3 linked regions of the Saccharomyces cerevisiae S288C genome follow. The gene in region 1 interacts genetically with each later gene. Each region holds a gene or a part of one and is shown in the gene's direction. Other genes may lie near its edges.

What was found.
Region 2: mutations in ARA1 (region 1) and ECM22 together harm fitness more than expected from each alone (negative genetic interaction), as found in Saccharomyces cerevisiae (one large-scale study listed by BioGRID).
Region 3: mutations in ARA1 (region 1) and BIO4 together harm fitness more than expected from each alone (negative genetic interaction), as found in Saccharomyces cerevisiae (one large-scale study listed by BioGRID).

What each region holds. Positions count from the first base shown.
Region 1 is NC_001134.8:536,617-542,468, forward strand, and holds ARA1 (D-arabinose 1-dehydrogenase (NAD(P)(+)) ARA1), read left to right. Parts: upstream 1-3,370; coding exon 3,371-4,405; downstream 4,406-5,852. Other genes in the region: RTC2 (cationic amino acid transporter), read left to right, coding at 1-849; YSW1 (Ysw1p), read left to right, coding at 1,260-3,089; TBS1 (Tbs1p), read right to left, coding at 4,593-5,852. UniProt on the Saccharomyces cerevisiae protein: Catalyzes the oxidation of D-arabinose, L-xylose, L-fucose and L-galactose in the presence of NADP(+).
Region 2 is NC_001144.5:598,582-605,741, reverse strand, and holds ECM22 (Ecm22p), read left to right. Parts: upstream 1-3,278; coding exon 3,279-5,723; downstream 5,724-7,160. Other genes in the region: Rho family GTPase CDC42, read left to right, coding at 955-1,530.
Region 3 is NC_001146.8:731,936-737,352, reverse strand, and holds BIO4 (dethiobiotin synthase), read left to right. Parts: upstream 1-3,283; coding exon 3,284-3,997; downstream 3,998-5,417. Other genes in the region: MNT4 (putative alpha-1,3-mannosyltransferase), read right to left, coding at 1-550; BIO3 (adenosylmethionine-8-amino-7-oxononanoate transaminase), read right to left, coding at 1,620-3,062; BIO5 (Bio5p), read left to right, coding at 4,050-5,417.

The sequences.
Region 1 (5,852 bases):
GGGATGGCTGGATCCATATCAATATGCTGTTGGATTGTTGTGTTTGTACCACAGATTTATGAAAACTTCCGAAGACAGTCTGCGGAGGGATTATCACTGCTTTTCATTGTGTTGTGGCTATTAGGTGATATATTTAACGTCATGGGAGCTATGATGCAAAATTTACTCCCAACCATGATAATTTTAGCTGCTTACTATACATTGGCAGATTTAATTTTGTTAATACAGTGCATGTGGTATGACAAGGAGAAGAAGAGCATTTTACAAGAAGTCAAGAAAAATGTTGATCCTGTGCATTTGCCTCCAGCAAACCCCATAAATGAGACTGTCTTACAAGACGTTTTTAATGAATATGAGCCACTTTTGCCAAGGATAGAAGAAGAAGATAGCCAATCGTATAGCTCGCTTGAGCTTGGCAGAACAATAGTCGTAAAGGAAAGAGAGAATTTTTTCAATGACTTCTTAATTGTTTCAGGTGTACTTATTGCCGGAATTTTGTCATGGTATATATCTTACTGTTCCGGCCTAGATAACGGTATTCCTAAAAAAAAACCTGCGTTCGAACAGATTAATTTACCTGCACAAATTTTAGGGTATTTAAGTGCGATACTGTACTTGGGCTCTAGGATCCCTCAGATTGTTCTTAACTTCAAAAGAAAATCATGCGAAGGAGTCTCATTCCTATTCTTTTTATTTGCATGCTTAGGGAACACTTCTTTCATAATCTCAGTGCTCTCAGCATCTTGGCTTATCGGTAGCGCTGGTACGCTGTTGATGGACTTCACAGTTTTTATTCAATTTTTCCTTTACGCCAAACCTAAATACGAGAAAATACTAATAGATAATTAACTAGTTGGCTTCTATTAATCTTTCCACTTAAAACTCAAACTTACTCATATGCGCATCGGCTATAGCCCAGAACTAGTATTTTCATTTTATGGAGGAAACAAAATTACTAGCGCCATCACGGCTCAGTCGTTATTTTGGCGATGCCCTTTGCTGACACGCGTCTGAAAAAATACACAAAAAATAACACAAAAACGAGTAATGCCATTTCCTGGGTGGGGTCTCTATCCATAGAGGAAAAAAAGTGACAGGAAGGGGACAAATTCAACTATTCACTGTAGTCATCTAATAATTTTTTTAACTTAATCACACCAACAAAAACAAAAAAAAGCTAAAACTAGGTTGAAGGATTTTAAGAGAAGTTATTGCACCGGTGTATTAACATATATAAGGATACGTACGAACATAACATCATGTCCAGCTTAGCCGATACAGTAGAGGGTAGCGAGGCCAAACGCGGCAGATTTTCCAACAATGCATTAACCTCCGATACTGGTATTTTACAGAAAAATAGTACATTAAGAAACTGGTTTTTAAAACCGACAGCAGACCTAAAAAATAGTTGCGAAGATAGAGTTGAAGATGACGTCAATGATGTCTACTTAAATGACAAAAACTCACAAAAATCTGTTGAAGAAAGAAAACTAGGAAGAAAAGTTAGATCTTTTTTCAAACAAACAAACTCAAATAAGGACGAGTCTGTGTTGGAAGATGAAGATGATGCGTTAGTTTGGAAGAAAACTAGCAATAAGTGTGCAAAAAAGGAAAATTCCCATGACATCCAAAAAGGAAGTTTCACAAAAAAAATCAGAAACAGTATTTTCAAGAGTGCAAATGACGTGAAAGAATTCAGGAATGAAAATAACTTACTATTGCCCGTTGAACTTTCTTCTGATGATGAGAATGAGTCTCATTTCACTGATGCTAACTCACATGTTATGCAATCAAAAAGTCCCGAGAAAATACCTTCCAAGGATCAATGCTTGACTAAAGGCGCTAAGAATAAAGGTCTGAAAAAGGAATATGAAAAAAGTTTTGAAGAGTATAGCGACGACAGTGACGATGAATTTTCTCCTGCTACTCCACCGGAGAATGTTCTTGAAGGTCCTTACAAATTTGTGTTTCAGACACCAAACACATTTACATCTCAGCCTAATATAACAGTAGAAAATGATTTTCACAAAGGTGGGAGACATGTGATTGACTATCTGAACAAAAAATTGGCTACTATGAACATTGATATTGATTTGACTTCAGGGGGGAAACAAAACGTATCTTGGGAGGAAGAGCTCGACCAATTGAGCGACCACGTTATAGAAAGTATTACTAACCACATTTCAAAGGGTAGAATGCACGCACAAGAGAAGCAAGATGAGTTGGAAAAGTTAAAATTGGAGAATTTGAACTTGTCAACATTAAAGCAAGAAAATCTCCAACATAAGCAGGAAATTAACTCATTGAAAGACAACCTTGAATCCATTAGTAAAAAAAACAATGATCTTATATTGGAAATGAACAAATTGAAAAAAAAAAGTACGAATAATAAAACAAATGAGTACATATCTACGGATGAAAACGAAAATGAGGAGATTACCAAATCCAATATGGGTCCTGGCATTTTAGAACTGAACGTCAACGAAACTTCAAAAAAATTACAGCAATCCACATTCAAACCCTCGAAATATCTTCCAAGAGAAACGAGAAACAATGAAAATAGATTAAAACACTTGGAAAAGAGAATATTTGGCTTAGAAAAATCTCTTGAAAAAAAAAAAAAACAGGTAAGGGCTGACAGCGTTAGATTAGACTTGAATAGATATACTATCGACCAGTTTTTGACATTACTGAAAAGCCTCAGCGAGGTTTTGCAATTCCACAATGTTTATGGCAATGATTTGAAGGAAAACGACGATAATATTATAAAGATTGAAACCTGCTGTAGTGCGCTAAACATGAAAAATTGTTTCGAAGACTCCTCATTTCGTTTACAAGAAAACAGCTTCAAGAGGCAATTGGGCCCTCTGTTCGCAAACATCAACTTCTCCTTAATCGACCAACTGACAATGAACTTCAGGTTCTACGAGAGATCTGCCAATTTCCAGAAGGAAACAATAGGTGGGTTAAGAATGATGCTACAAGATAAGGATAACTATATCAAAACACTGATGCAACATTTGAAGAAAAAAGAGAGTACAAAGTTGATAAAAGACAGCAAGAATGGCGCCTCCACCTTAACATCTTAACAATTTCGTTTACTGAAAATGCTACTAGTATATAATCATTAAGTATCTAACTATCACTCAATAAAAATATTATAGATCGCTTAAAAACTCGTTTATTGCCGATTATAAATCCACCAAAAGCCGCTCTACCCTTACCTCCGCCTGGAAAAATTATAATATATAAAGTGAGCCTCGTAATACAGGGGTAAAAAGGAAAGAGGGGGATATCAAGCATCTGGACTTATTTGCACTATCTCCGCCTTCAATTGATAAAAGCGTCTTGATTTTAATCAACTGCTATCATGTCTTCTTCAGTAGCCTCAACCGAAAACATAGTCGAAAATATGTTGCATCCAAAGACTACAGAAATATACTTTTCACTCAACAATGGTGTTCGTATCCCAGCACTGGGTTTGGGGACAGCAAATCCTCACGAAAAGTTAGCTGAAACAAAACAAGCCGTAAAAGCTGCAATCAAAGCTGGATACAGGCACATTGATACTGCTTGGGCCTACGAGACAGAGCCATTCGTAGGTGAAGCCATCAAGGAGTTATTAGAAGATGGATCTATCAAAAGGGAGGATCTTTTCATAACCACAAAAGTGTGGCCGGTTCTATGGGACGAAGTGGACAGATCATTGAATGAATCTTTGAAAGCTTTAGGCTTGGAATACGTCGACTTGCTCTTGCAACATTGGCCGCTATGTTTTGAAAAGATTAAGGACCCTAAGGGGATCAGCGGACTGGTGAAGACTCCGGTTGATGATTCTGGAAAAACAATGTATGCTGCCGACGGTGACTATTTAGAAACTTACAAGCAATTGGAAAAAATTTACCTTGATCCTAACGATCATCGTGTGAGAGCCATTGGTGTCTCAAATTTTTCCATTGAGTATTTGGAACGTCTCATTAAGGAATGCAGAGTTAAGCCAACGGTGAACCAAGTGGAAACTCACCCTCACTTACCACAAATGGAACTAAGAAAGTTCTGCTTTATGCACGACATTCTGTTAACAGCATACTCACCATTAGGTTCCCATGGCGCACCAAACTTGAAAATCCCACTAGTGAAAAAGCTTGCCGAAAAGTACAATGTCACAGGAAATGACTTGCTAATTTCTTACCATATTAGACAAGGCACTATCGTAATTCCGAGATCCTTGAATCCAGTTAGGATTTCCTCGAGTATTGAATTCGCATCTTTGACAAAGGATGAATTACAAGAGTTGAACGACTTCGGTGAAAAATACCCAGTGAGATTCATCGATGAGCCATTTGCAGCCATCCTTCCAGAGTTTACTGGTAACGGACCAAACTTGGACAATTTAAAGTATTAAGACAACGACTTTATTTTCACTTTATTTAGTTCGCTTCTTAATCTTGTCAAAAACAAGATATTGTGTAATCGCCTCAAGTAAACAATATGTTTTTCATACGTGATTTGAAGTTTTTAAGTATCTGAAATACATACGCGCGCGTATGCATATGTATTAGTTAAATTACTCGAATGTCCTTTATATAATATTACATTTTTACACACACATTCTTGAAGAAGAAATCCCGATCGTAAAAAAAAACACCGTGCTCCAAATGGCCTTCAATCTTTTCGAATAATTTATTCGATTGTTCATTCTCATCTCTATAATCATTCGCCGTACGTTCAGGATATGACGCATCAAGCAGCGAAGCTAAACCTGTTGGAAATAAAGATCTGTCATAGTCATCGTCTTCTTCATCATCATCAGCACCATTATTACTATAATCATCATCATTGTCATCATCATCATCATCATCATCATCATCATCATCATCATCATCATCATCATCATCATCATCATTAATATTGTTGTCATTGTCATTATTGTTACTGTTACTGTAGTTATTGTTATTATTATTAATAGTACTACTACTATTATTGCCATTTTTATTATTATTATTATTATTATTATTATTATCGTCAGTATCATCAGCGCCAGTAGTCTCGTTATTATCAGTATTGGTACCATTACTATGATGATATTCCTCGCCTGGCTCAAGAGTTTTATTTTCCCACAATTTCGGAATGCTTGAAAATTGCAAGAAGTTCAAATCCTGGATTGTTATTTCATTGAAAATATTGAAGGACACTTCCATTTTTTCTTGGTCCTCTGTAACGAAACTACCAAATGCAGCCATCTTCTCTTTATTTATGAACGAAGTTTTCAAGAGCTCGACCATATCATCTTTTGATTCTCTCGTATGCTTAACTAACCTATTGAGAACACCCTCATAATAATTTGAATCAAAGGCATAGAATTTTGCGTATTTACTTGTCAGATTGAACTTTTCCATCGTACTCCGTAGAAAAAAAGTGTAAAAAAAAAGAGATGTTTGCCACTTCAGATTGTGTACTGAAAGACAGCGTTCTTCAGATCCAAGCATACGGGTATGTGTATCCCTCAATAATCCAATTATATAACCAGTCTCCATGGCATGTTCGTCATTAACCATAATCTCTGACAAATACAGAAACATGGAAAAAACCGTTGTGAGAGAAAAATACAGAAACTCATTCTGAACAGTAGGGTAGTATTCAAAATCTTTCAAAATATTAAGTACTTCGATGCAATTTCGCTTGAAATCCAATCTTGACCTTCTAATAATTTCAGCTATATCATGCCGGGAACTTTCCCGTTGATCTAAGTTATCTCCAATGATGGATATGACAAATAAACTCAGGGTTATCTTTTGATGGTACCATCTGAGGTGTAATAGAATAGTAGTACAACAACTCACTTCAAAATC
Region 2 (7,160 bases), on another chromosome or scaffold:
TCGCCTTCATCTTCTTTTGGATATTATATATGACGTAGTTTGAAATTCGTATACTTACTGATAGCGAACCTATAAATTTATACTTTCTTTCCAAGAATTAAAATAAATATCTGGGCCCGTGTATTACTTACCAGTTGCCGTGCATAGTCGTGAATCTTCTTTCATTTATCAACCTTCTTCCAATAATGAAGCTAACTTATCAGTGGTAGTACTGTTGAACGAAACAAGCCGGAACTCAAAAGGGTAATTTCGTGAAAAACAATCATCTACGGTATAAATAACAATTTAATTTACGTCTCTTTCGAAAATGCTCGTGTAGCTCAGTGGTTAGAGCTTCGTGCTTATAGCAACATTCGGTTTCCGAAGTTTCTGTGCCAAAGACCTTTCAAACAGGCCTTTAAAAGCAACGCGACCGTCGTGGGTTCAATCCCCACCTCGAGCACTTTCTCTTTTTTTTTTAAAAAAAGTTGCATTATTTCTATCAACTGTTGTAGCTACGTTACACCTAATTTTGTATTGTAGACTGTTAGATAATCCACATATACAGGTAAATACGGCACATTGTCTTCTAAACATCGCATTAAAGATGTCTTCCACCGTCGATTCAAGGGTCATTCAATACGGGTAATACTGCTTCCATTGGGCCCTTCCAAATGAAACAAGATACGGGAAAAAGTGATAAAAAAAAGCAAACAAGGTTGATTGATCGATGATAGACGCGATTCTTGGAAAAGGCAAGAGCAGCGTTTTGATAAATAGGTTCCAGGTGTACCGAGATATACTGATTATCCTTCTCTGTCATTCTTCACTTTTTGCAATAGGTTTCCTTTGTCGCAAAAAATTATATTCGTTATTTATTATACTATTCTATTTTCCTGAGGAGATAGGTTAACAAACGAATTAGAGAAGCAAAACTTATAAAACAAGAAATAAACGTATTAGCTCTTCCACAAAATGCAAACGCTAAAGTGTGTTGTTGTCGGTGATGGTGCTGTTGGGAAAACGTGCCTTCTAATCTCCTATACAACGAATCAATTTCCAGCCGACTATGTTCCAACAGTGTTCGATAACTATGCGGTGACTGTGATGATTGGTGATGAACCATATACGTTAGGTTTGTTTGATACGGCCGGTCAAGAAGATTACGATCGATTGAGACCCTTGTCATATCCTTCTACTGATGTATTTTTGGTTTGTTTCAGTGTTATTTCCCCACCCTCTTTTGAAAACGTTAAAGAAAAATGGTTCCCTGAAGTACATCACCATTGTCCAGGTGTACCATGCCTGGTCGTCGGTACGCAGATTGATCTAAGGGATGACAAGGTAATCATCGAGAAGTTGCAAAGACAAAGATTACGTCCGATTACATCAGAACAAGGTTCCAGGTTAGCAAGAGAACTGAAAGCAGTAAAATATGTCGAGTGTTCGGCACTAACACAACGCGGTTTGAAGAATGTATTCGATGAAGCTATCGTGGCCGCCTTGGAGCCTCCTGTTATCAAGAAAAGTAAAAAATGTGCAATTTTGTAGTCATATTAGTATATGCCCATCTTTTCTTAATCTATATCTAAAATTAACTTATATATACACCTTCCTATCCTTTTATTATCGTTGTATTTCATTTTTTCGCTTTGCTCAGAGTTGATTCTCTTTGTTTCTTGCGCCAGGATCATCCGTCTGTTCAAGGCGGAGTAGTGCAAAAAAGTCGAGCCGTCAAGCCCCAAACGTTCAATACTTCCATGTTCTTCAACGCTAAACGCGACATTTGCGAGTCCTACCACGTCTTCTCCGTTTACGGGCAAAAACACCTCTTAACATCAAAAATTTGGCTTTCGTGCTTTTTTCTGAAATATATTCGTTGCATAGACACGGTATGCATATGAAACATTCAGGCTAGCAATCAATACTTAAACCCTTTACGGGCGTGCATGATGTATCAGGAAACCAGTTTGAGAATGTCGCCCACCAAGCTCCATGGAAAGGCGCAAACCAATTACGCGGAACACAAAAATGGGCCTTTTTTTGATCGCCTCAAAGGCCGGACCAGGTTCGTTAAACGTCTGTAGAGGTGCCGAACAATTTTTGTCTAGAATAAATTTCCATTTTTCTGGCATTTAATTCTAGGCTTTCTGGTCTCTTTGTTCTTGCAGCTAGCCCATTGGGTGCTCTTCAAAATATGTCAATATCACCTTGATTTTGAAAATGCGCCCGTAAAATTGGACTTATGCTACAAATATATTCTACAGGAAAAGATCCGCAAGGTCTGCTTTAGCGTAAAAACGACCTCCCAGTATTTTATATAACCTCAGCCATTTCACTGAATGATACATAGTAGCATATATAGCTAGGCCTAAATGTATTTTTTTTTACAACTTTTTAGATCGCTGCGTGAAGGATGAAACTTCATATGAGTACGGACGTTTGAAAGGGTAGAGTGGCGCTAGCATAGAAATGCCATTTCTCGGAGGTGTCATCATTCGAAAAGAACTCAATTTTCAAGCGATTGAGATTCAAAGGCAAACCGATGCCTCCTCATTGGTCACATCTTCATGTAAACTGTGGCTGCTTTTTTTTCTAAATACTCTATGACTACAGCTTTCCTTTGTACAAACTCAAGTTTATTTAATCGTCTTTTTTAATGTTTATGTTCAACATACCCGAAACCACTACAAGACGGAAAATACTAGAGAAACATCAACAAATGAAAAAAAAAGGCTACAATCCTCGGATGAAACTGATAAAAACGAGCACAGTATATGCCGAGTCGTAGCATTTAACGTACTAACACTACTCGCCAAATCATAAGAGCTTCATGCTGACGTGTGTATCTATATCGCTTTTACAGATCCTGCAACCGACAGAGCCGAAAACGTAATTGGTGACTCGTTCCTCGTTCTTGTCGGAAAAATTTAAACGAGCGCGTTCGATAAACTCAACGAAGGCAAGTTTGAACAATAGATGTTGGTCGTAATCATTCGTTCTTCGACTTTTATAGCCTTTTTTTTAACTTAACGAACTCGTACTATCTAATAGTTTATTTCCCCTTGTTTTTTTTTGTTACGATTGGGGAAAAGCAAGGGTTCCCTGCGTCTACGATTACATCATCTACTAACTAGTCACCGAAATCGATTATCGTCGAAGGAGAAGCAACCAAGACCTCCACTTTTCAAAGGCACAAATAACATTTCGCCTTTACATAATATAGAGGAGTTAAGTCGACGGTTTTTTTCATTTAAGGTTTATATTTCGTTTATCCATAGATCTCCATCTAACATAACATGACATCCGATGATGGGAATGCTGGACAAGAAAGAGAGAAGGATGCTGAACTGATTGAGGTTGGGGGCAAGAAAGTGAGCAAGACTTCGACAGGGAAACGGAAGTTTCATAACAAGTCCAAGACCGGTTGCGACAATTGTAAAAGAAGAAGAGTAAAATGTGATGAAGGCAAACCATTTTGCAAGAAATGTACAAACATGAAATTGGACTGTGTTTACAGCCCTATTCAGCCAAGAAGAAGAAAAGATTCTTCGTCGTCAAAATTTGCATCAGCGGTCCACGATAGGGTAGGCAAGAAAAATCTGAGTGACAATGCCATCATGTTACAACAACAACAACAGCAACTTCATCATCAACAAGAACAGCAATTTCGTCAACAACAGCAAGTTCAGTTACAGCAGCAACTGTTGCCACATGTTGGTACTGATGAACAAAGCAATTCCCCTAATAGCGTTCCTCCATCCGTATCCAATAATATGGAGAATCTTTTGTTACCGCACCTATTAGCGAGTTTAGTGAATAACACCAGTAACAGTACCAACAGCAGTGCAAATGGAGCTGAAGCGCATAATAATATAACACAAACAGCTCCCAGTTCAATGATAAACAACAACCACCCAAACATGGCCCTACCAGGGAATTCGCCATTGAGTATACCGATAACACCTAGTTTTCAATCAACGGCCATGAATTTATCAAGTAGCCTTAACGGCTTACTCTCGCCTGGTAGGCTAAATTCGGTGACGAATGGATTGCAGCAGCCACAACTTCAACAACAAAATCAGCAAATTCCACAACAACAAGGAACACAGTCCCCCTTCAGCAATATTCCCTTCGACCAGCTAGCGCAATTGAACAAGATGGGCTTGAACTTCAATATGAAGAGCTTCAATACATTATTTCCATACGGTGCTGCAAATGGAATGGCCTCTGAGTTTCAAGAGTTATTTGGCCTCGGAAAGTTTGCTACATCTAATAACAGAGCAATCAAAGTTAGCACAGCAGAGGAGGCACTCGCAAATATGCAACAGGAACAGGAGGACAAAAACAAGCAATTTACGAAGAACCCATTGGATAATACTAAGACGGATGCTGTTAATTCGGGCAATAACCCCCTTAACGGAAACGAAAATAAAGTTACTGCTTCTGATATACTATCTCATAACAAAAACTTGATAATCGACAATACCGGTCTCACAATCAGTCCCCCACACACGTTGTCCAAACCTTCCATAGATCAAAACATTGCGTCCCCTTCAACGGGAGTATCCAATGTAACCTCTACAAAGTCATTGTTATCTATACCGGACAACAGGACCGCTTTGGGAAATTCTCCTACTTTGAAGACGTCCCCAATGGGTGACCTGTTATCCAACTCGGAGGCATTGTCTCCACGTTCATCAAATTCTCACACTCAACAACAATCTTCTCCCCATTCAAACGCTTCATCAGCCTCACGACTAGTCCCTGAATTAGTCGGGCTGTCTAGAAAATCAAATTTGAATTTGATAGATCTAAAACTTTTTCATCACTATTGTACTGACGTATGGCATACCATAACCGAAGCAGGCATTTCTGGTCCTGAAGTATGGAGCACTTATATTCCGGATTTGGCTTTTCATTTTCCCTTCTTGATGCATACAATTTTGGCTTTTAGCGCCACTCATTTGTCCAGAACTGAAGCCGGCTTGGATAACTACGTGTCTAGTCATCGTTTAGAAGCGTTGAGACTGTTAAGAGAGGCTGTGCTCGAAATTTCAGATGATAACACAGATGCTTTGGTGGCTAGTGCTCTAATATTAATCCTAGATTCATTGGCAAATGCTTCAAGCAGCTCACCAACGGCATGGATTTTCCATGTTAAAGGCGCCGTAACTATACTAACTGCTGTATGGCCCCTGTCGGAGACATCCAAGTTTTATAACTTAATTTCTGTTGACTTGAGTGATTTGGGTGAAGCTGTAATCAACCAAAGTAATCATAATAATGATAATGACAATAGCAATAATGGTGATGGAAATAACAATAATACGATATCGGAACTCGTATGCTTTGACGAAAGTATAGCAGATTTATATCCCGTAGAAATTGATTCACCGTACTTGATAACTTTAGCATATTTGGACAAACTGCATCGCGAAAAAAATCAATTAGATTTTATGTTGAGAGTCTTCTCATTTCCTGCTCTTTTGGATAGGACTTTTTTAGCATTATTAATGACAGGCGACCTAGGGGCCATGAGAATAATGAGGTCTTACTATACATTATTGAGAGGTTATACCACAGAAATAAAGGACAAAGTGTGGTTCTTGGATAGCGTATCACAGGTTTTACCACAGGATGTTGATGAGTATAGTGGAGGTGGTGGTATGCATATGATGCTGGATTTCTTAGGAGGTGGGTTACCTTCTATGACCACTACAAACTTTTCAGCTTTTATGTAATTTATCAAAATATAAACTCTTTTCTTTCGATGGGTCAGTGCTACAGAATGTGAACCTCATCGATGAATAACTACATTATGTTACTTCCGAATATACTGGCCATTTTGAGGAATCCACAAAAGGAAATGGATACTTATACATAGTAGTATTATTATTTCTTCTTTCGTTTTTATATGTTGTCAAGTGATCATTAATAATAACATGAGTTGTTATGGTAACAATTTAAATGTTTACATAGTATATTGAGGTACACCCGGTATACGTTTATGTGTAAATGCACTAATCACAGGATAAAAACTTAAGCGAGCAATTCAGACAATGCTGAGCTGAGTTAAAGATATATTGATTGAACATAATGTGGTAGCTACTTATATATATGAGGAATACGGGTCACCACACTAAATACATAGTAACTACCAAAGGCACTTTTATGTTAATAATAAATAATAATGAGCAAATCTAATGCTTTCTTGAAAAATAGGTGGATTTTATGGGTGAATAATTGAATAATTGTTGGGATTCTATTGTTAAAGGCACTAATAGTGGGCATACGTTAATGTGCCAGGAGAATATAGCAACATTGAAGGGAAATGACATCTCTACAGAGCATCACTATTTTTTCTTCTTCAATTTAATTGTTGTTACTCATTATCCTATTACATTATCGATCATTGCATTTCAGCTTCCATTAAATTCGATGACTGTTCCTCAATTTTTGACGTCATCTTCTTACGCCGTATATGATAAAATAAATACTTGTACATAGGTGATTTTTGTCCGTATCTCAGCAGTTTTATATTTTTCTCTTATATTGCATGAAAAGATGGATATTCATTCTTCATTAATACTACCAATTAACGGCATTTCATTATCCATTACAATTATTTTTTATTCTCGCTTTCAAACTATTTACTGACGTCTAGTCTGACCGAAAACCAAAGAGTTCACATCTATTCTGAGAAATGGGTGAATGTTGAGATAATTGTTGGGATTCCATTGTTGATAAAGGCTATAATATTAGGTATACAGAATATACTAGAAGTTCTCCTCAAGGATTTAGGAATCCATAAAAGGGAATCTGCAATTCTACACAATTCTATAAATATTATTATCATCATTTTATATGTTTATATTCATTGATCCTATTACATTATCAATCCTTGCGTTTCAGCTTCCACTAATTTAGATGACTATTTCTCATCATTTGCGTCATCTTCTAACACCGTATATGATAATATACTAGTAATGTAAATACTAGTTAGTAGATGATAGTTGATTTCTATTCCAACATACCACCCATAATGTAATAGATCTAATGAATCCATTTGTTAGTTAATAGTTTAAATGTTTTTATCGGAAGAGGTTTTGTCATCACATCAGCAATGTTCTTCTTGGTCTCGATGTAGTATACGTATAGATTATTACCTGATACTTCAT
Region 3 (5,417 bases), on another chromosome or scaffold:
AAGGTTCGCTAGCCTTGAATTCAATGGGTGAAGTTCCAATGAACGAATTGTTCTCAGAAGAAAATTGTAATACCTGTCCACGGTACTTTGTTCCATCAAATCGGGTATGAACAGGCCAAAAATTATGAGATTGTTCACTATTTAGGGCTGTGAAGTTTATATATGGGAACAACTTGGTTTCTATGCTATGAAGAAGGGAAATATCCTGATCAGCACGGATTTCTTTTGAGCATTTTTGATACAAATCCAAATTGGATAGCGATCGGGACACAGTTTTCACATCCTTGCGACTCCTGGTCACGTAAGATATAAAAGATTTCCATCTATTCGGTTCATAGAATTTACTTGTCAATTCCGGCTTTTCATATTCCTCTATTTGACGCAGTCTAGAAAAGCAGTGCACGTTGCCAGAGCGATCATCTTCTCTGCGTGTTTCGAAATGGTCGGAGAATGGATACTGTCGGTAGACCCTAAAAAGAACAATGAGAGACAACAATGATGTGAAGATCAATGGTGCCAGTTTCTTAATTCTTCGTATGCGCAATACCATTTTTTGCAGAGTACGTTTTTAAAGATGGCACTTTTACCTTAACACAAGGGACTCAATTTCATGTTAACAAATTTCATCTTTTCCAAGTGTTACATAGCACTACCGATCCTTTCCTAGGTAACGAAACCATGATAAACTAGTGCTGCTGCTTTAAACAAAGAGGCGCAATGTTTACCTTCAGAAGAGAGGTCATACAATTACTTGGAGGGTAACATTACTAATTTTGCAGAGATTGCAACATAGGTGATCTTATATGTTGAAATAAAAACTACTGCTGATATTGCTTGCTTTGATAATAACAATATTCGAGGGAAAATACTGCCCATGCTACTTCAGTGTGATGGCAAAGCGTTTTCTCATCTAGGAGAGCAACGGTTTGATCCCCGTGAAAAGCCTGGGCCCAGTACATCTTGTAAGATCTTACACAATATTAAGTTATATAGACATCGTTTACTACATTCAAGGTCTTGTGAATAGTTACTGCGGATAGGTTAATAGAGGAAGATATAGTGCAAAATTTCAAGTAGCGGAAGATAATCAAATGCTGAAGGAAATTTACAGGTTTGCCTCAATAATAATCTTGACTCTGCCGGAAAAATTTACCAGAGGGTTCAAAGGTATGAGTTGTACGACCCGGTTCAACAGTAGTTGCTTGAAGAGTAAGCTGAGCCTATAATATCCCATCTTTTCCGTTCTTCTCATAATAAATAAAAGATAGGATCGTGAGATGTGTCAGCTGCTGAGGAGTGTAACTAGCGCTAATGGGAGAACATAGAAGAGAGTACCGTGATGGCACAGAAGGCGGGTAGGCGACCACGGACCATTTCGGTCCAGATTTCTCAACTCGTACTTCCTGTGATACGTTCTTGCCCTGAACTAGTCAATTTTCTCTTGTGCAGCAGGCTTCGACATAGTTTTATGATAAGAAAAGTAAGATATAAAGGTCCGCTAGAATAAATAACCATAAATTTTTTATTTTGAGTTATATCAATATAAATAATAGCGTAAAAGAATGCATTTTACGCAAGAAATAAGAATTCCTTGGCAAATGACTTGATGAGATCGTATATCATTGGTTTATGTGGGATTTCCACTCATGTAATACTTCAATCAAGACTTGATTAACCTTCGTCAATTCCTCTGTCGTGATCACATATGGTGGCATAATGTAACACAGGCAGTTGAAAGGTCGGATATGTACTCCCTTGGATATAAACTTTTTCTGGAACCACTCGGGATCTGTCTTCTTGTATAGCTCTACGATACCTACAGCTCCAATAACTGACACACGCTTAACAACAGTTCCAATGAGCCCATTATCTGGGTTCTTGATGTACTGGTATAGTTCTCTATAAATTTGGTTTTCAATTGCAGACACTTGTTTTCTCCACTCGCCACGCAGTAGTATATCCATAGACTTTTCTGCCACACTGCATGCCAGGGCATTGCCCATGAAGGTGGGGCCATGCATGAAGCAGCCACCAGTAGGGCTATTTGGAGAAGAGATTCTGGAAGCAACTTTGTCGTTGACTACCACTGCACTCATAGTCATATATCCACTGGTTAAGCCCTTCCCAACGCACAATATGTCAGGAACAACTTTGATCTGATCGGAAGGACTGATGCCATGTTGGTCCTGGTATTTTTGACAGTGCTTGAATGCGAAAATCTCACCTGTTCTACCAAATCCTGTAGCAATCTCGTCCATGATGAATAAAACGTCGTATTGGTTACATAGTTTCTGAACTTCGATTAAGAACTGTGGATGGTATGGTCGCAAACCTCCTGCACCCTGTAAGATAGGCTCCAAAATCACAGCACAGATCTTATCACTATGCAATTCAAATTGCTTCTTGAGATCGGTAACTTCTTCTGCATTCCAATGGTCCTCGAAACCGTTCTGGCTGGTTGGAAGGCCATCGACAATAGAGGGAGCTTGGGCGAAGATGTTCTCACTGAGTCGATCGTTGTAGATATGATGCATAGAATTCTCAGGATCACAAACACTCATAGCGCCAAATGTATCACCATGATACCCGTTCTTGATTGTCAAAAACTTTGTTCTATTTTTAGTAGCTTCCCCTGACATGTTTGATTGTAAAGCCATCTTCAAAGCTACTTCCACTGCTACTGAGCCAGAATCTGCGAGGAAACAGTACTGCAAAGAGGGTTCATCAATCACTTTTAAAAGTTTTTGGACTAGATTCACAGCTCCTTTATGGGTGAATCCACCAAGAAGGACGTGAGAAAACTTTAACATCTGCTTGGTAAGGGCCTCATTTAGTTCTGGATTATTGTACCCGTGAATAACACACCACCACGACGACATGGCGTCGATCACCTCGACGTCCACTGGTGAGTCGGTATCCAACACCAGCTTGCATCCGTGAGCACTCTTTACCGGATAAACGTTCAATGGTGAACTCAATGACGTATAAGGATGCCAAATATGTTTTTTATCAAAGTCTAGCAGTTCCGCGACATCTGGTGTATATGAAATTTCTTGGGACATTAGTTGTTATCCTAGCAATAGAAAACGAATTGCGCTGTTGACATCCTCCCGACCAAAAGAAAATGAAATATACAAACAATGGCTATTTATAATTCAAAATTATTGGGCAAAACAAAATAAAATCCCGCTGGTAGTTCGTTTACTGAAGTATATAAAGAGATATACTTTTTTCCACAAGTAGGCCAGTGAAAAGAACTCAAAAAATCACTAGCGCACAGGTCATGAACAGCAAATCTCAACAACAAGAACAACAACCAATTGTATTCGTCACCGGTACAGACACTGATGTTGGTAAAACCTTTGTATCAACATTATTGGTACACAAATGGAAAGCTGCATACTGGAAACCCGTACAAACTGGAATTGAGTCAGATCAAGGTGACTCCGAGACATTGAAAAATTTCAAAATAGCCGCATCAACTTGGCAACCACCTATATTCACGCCCACTTATGCGCTGCAGAAGCCTCTATCTCCGCTCCAGGCCATGGAGTACGAACCTAATGTCGACATCAGGTTGTTGGATTTCGTAGTTCCTGAAGAGTGGAGCGCAGAGAATCCATTGGTCGTAGAAGGAGCCGGCGGGGTTTGCGTTCCTATCACTCGTAAATTGGAAATTACGACGGATCTAATTAAACATCTGATTGAGACTAGCGGCCATCCAGTGTACGTAGTTGTCGTGGCACGCAGCGGGCTAGGGACTCTGAATCATACATTGCTGACTTGGAATCATCTTTGCGATAATGGCTTGAGAAGCCACCTTTTTGGGGTCATTCTCAATGGGGAACCGAATGAAGGCAACGTGCAGGCCCTGAAGAAGTTCGGTGTCAATATTATGGCACAGGTTGCACAATGTACTACGGCACATGATCAGGATATGGAGTTGCATGAACTGCCATCGGTGGAGTCATTAATGACCCAACAAGACGTAGAATAGTTTAAATAAAAAAGTTGCAAGGCTTTCATCAGCTATATATAAGTAGCATGGTATGAACAGAGTAGGGGCAGTGTTCCTATTTGTATATGAAAGAAATTTTTTTTTGTCTATTGTTCCAGATCGTCACAGGACGGAAATAAGAATGTCTAGTTCAGAAAGGTCAGAAGTCAAGTTTGACAAGCACTTTAATTGGTGGTCCCTATTAGGTATCGCGTTCTCATTAAGTTGCTCATGGGTCGGTATCTCAGCGTCGATGGCCGTTGGTATTGCCAGTGGAGGGCCACTGCTTATCATCTATGGGTTGATAATTGCTGCTTTTTTCAGTCTCATGTGTGGTATATCTCTGGGAGATTTTGCTGCTATCCTGCCAAACAGCAGCGGTGGTTCATTTTGGGTTCTTAAAATGTTGGAACAAGAATCAGTCACTTTGAAAACCCCTGAGTACGAGGACCCTTCTGACGATGATGAAGAAGTGTTCCTCGAGAATTATTGTCAAACTTTCAACGTGGAAGTTTCTTCTAAATTTCAAAAGGTTTCTTCCATGGTTGTAGGGTTGCTGAACTATTTCGGTGCCATTTTTACTACCGCAAGTATCTGCTCATCTTTGTCAATGAGCTGTATCGGTATTCATAAGTTGTTGCATCCGGACTACGAGTTAAAGCACTGGCATGTTTTTGTGGGTTACGAGTGTATCAATGCCGTTTTGACACTTTTCAACATTTATTCAACTCCGTTGCCCTATATCTCTCAGTTTGGGCTCTATACGTCTCTATTGTCTTTCGCCATGACTTTCATTATTTGTATTGTTTCAAGATCTGACAACACCGTAGACCCATGGCCCAAAGCTTCTAATATATTTGGGAGCTTTGATAATCAAACAGGCTGGAATTCGTCTGGAATGGCGTTTGTTGTCGGTTTGGTCAATCCGATCTGGGCATTTGTTGGCATTGACTCTGCTACGCACATGATTGATGAAGTGGGTTATAGTAAGTCACGTTTCTTAGTTCCCAAAGTTATTATCACTACCATCATTGTGGGCTTTGTAACTAGTTTTATTTATTGCGTTGGTTTGTTTTTCTGCATCACTGACCAAACGGCAGTCGTTGAGTCTATTTTACCTATCGTAGAAATATTTTACCAGGCCACTGGTAATAGGAATCTCAGTGTCTTCCTGCAATGTATGTGTATCACAACAGGTTTTGTTTCAGGCATTGCAAGTGGAACCTGGCAAAGTCGAATCCTCCAATCATTCGGGAAAAGTTACGCACCATTTTATAAAGAGGGTTCCTTGGGAAACAAATCCTTGAAGAAGCTAGCAGTGTTGACACCTGGGTTTAAGTCTCCATTATATGCCCATTTTTTGTCACAAATATGTGTAACGATAATTGGCTGTATATTTATGGGATCTAGTACCGCTTTC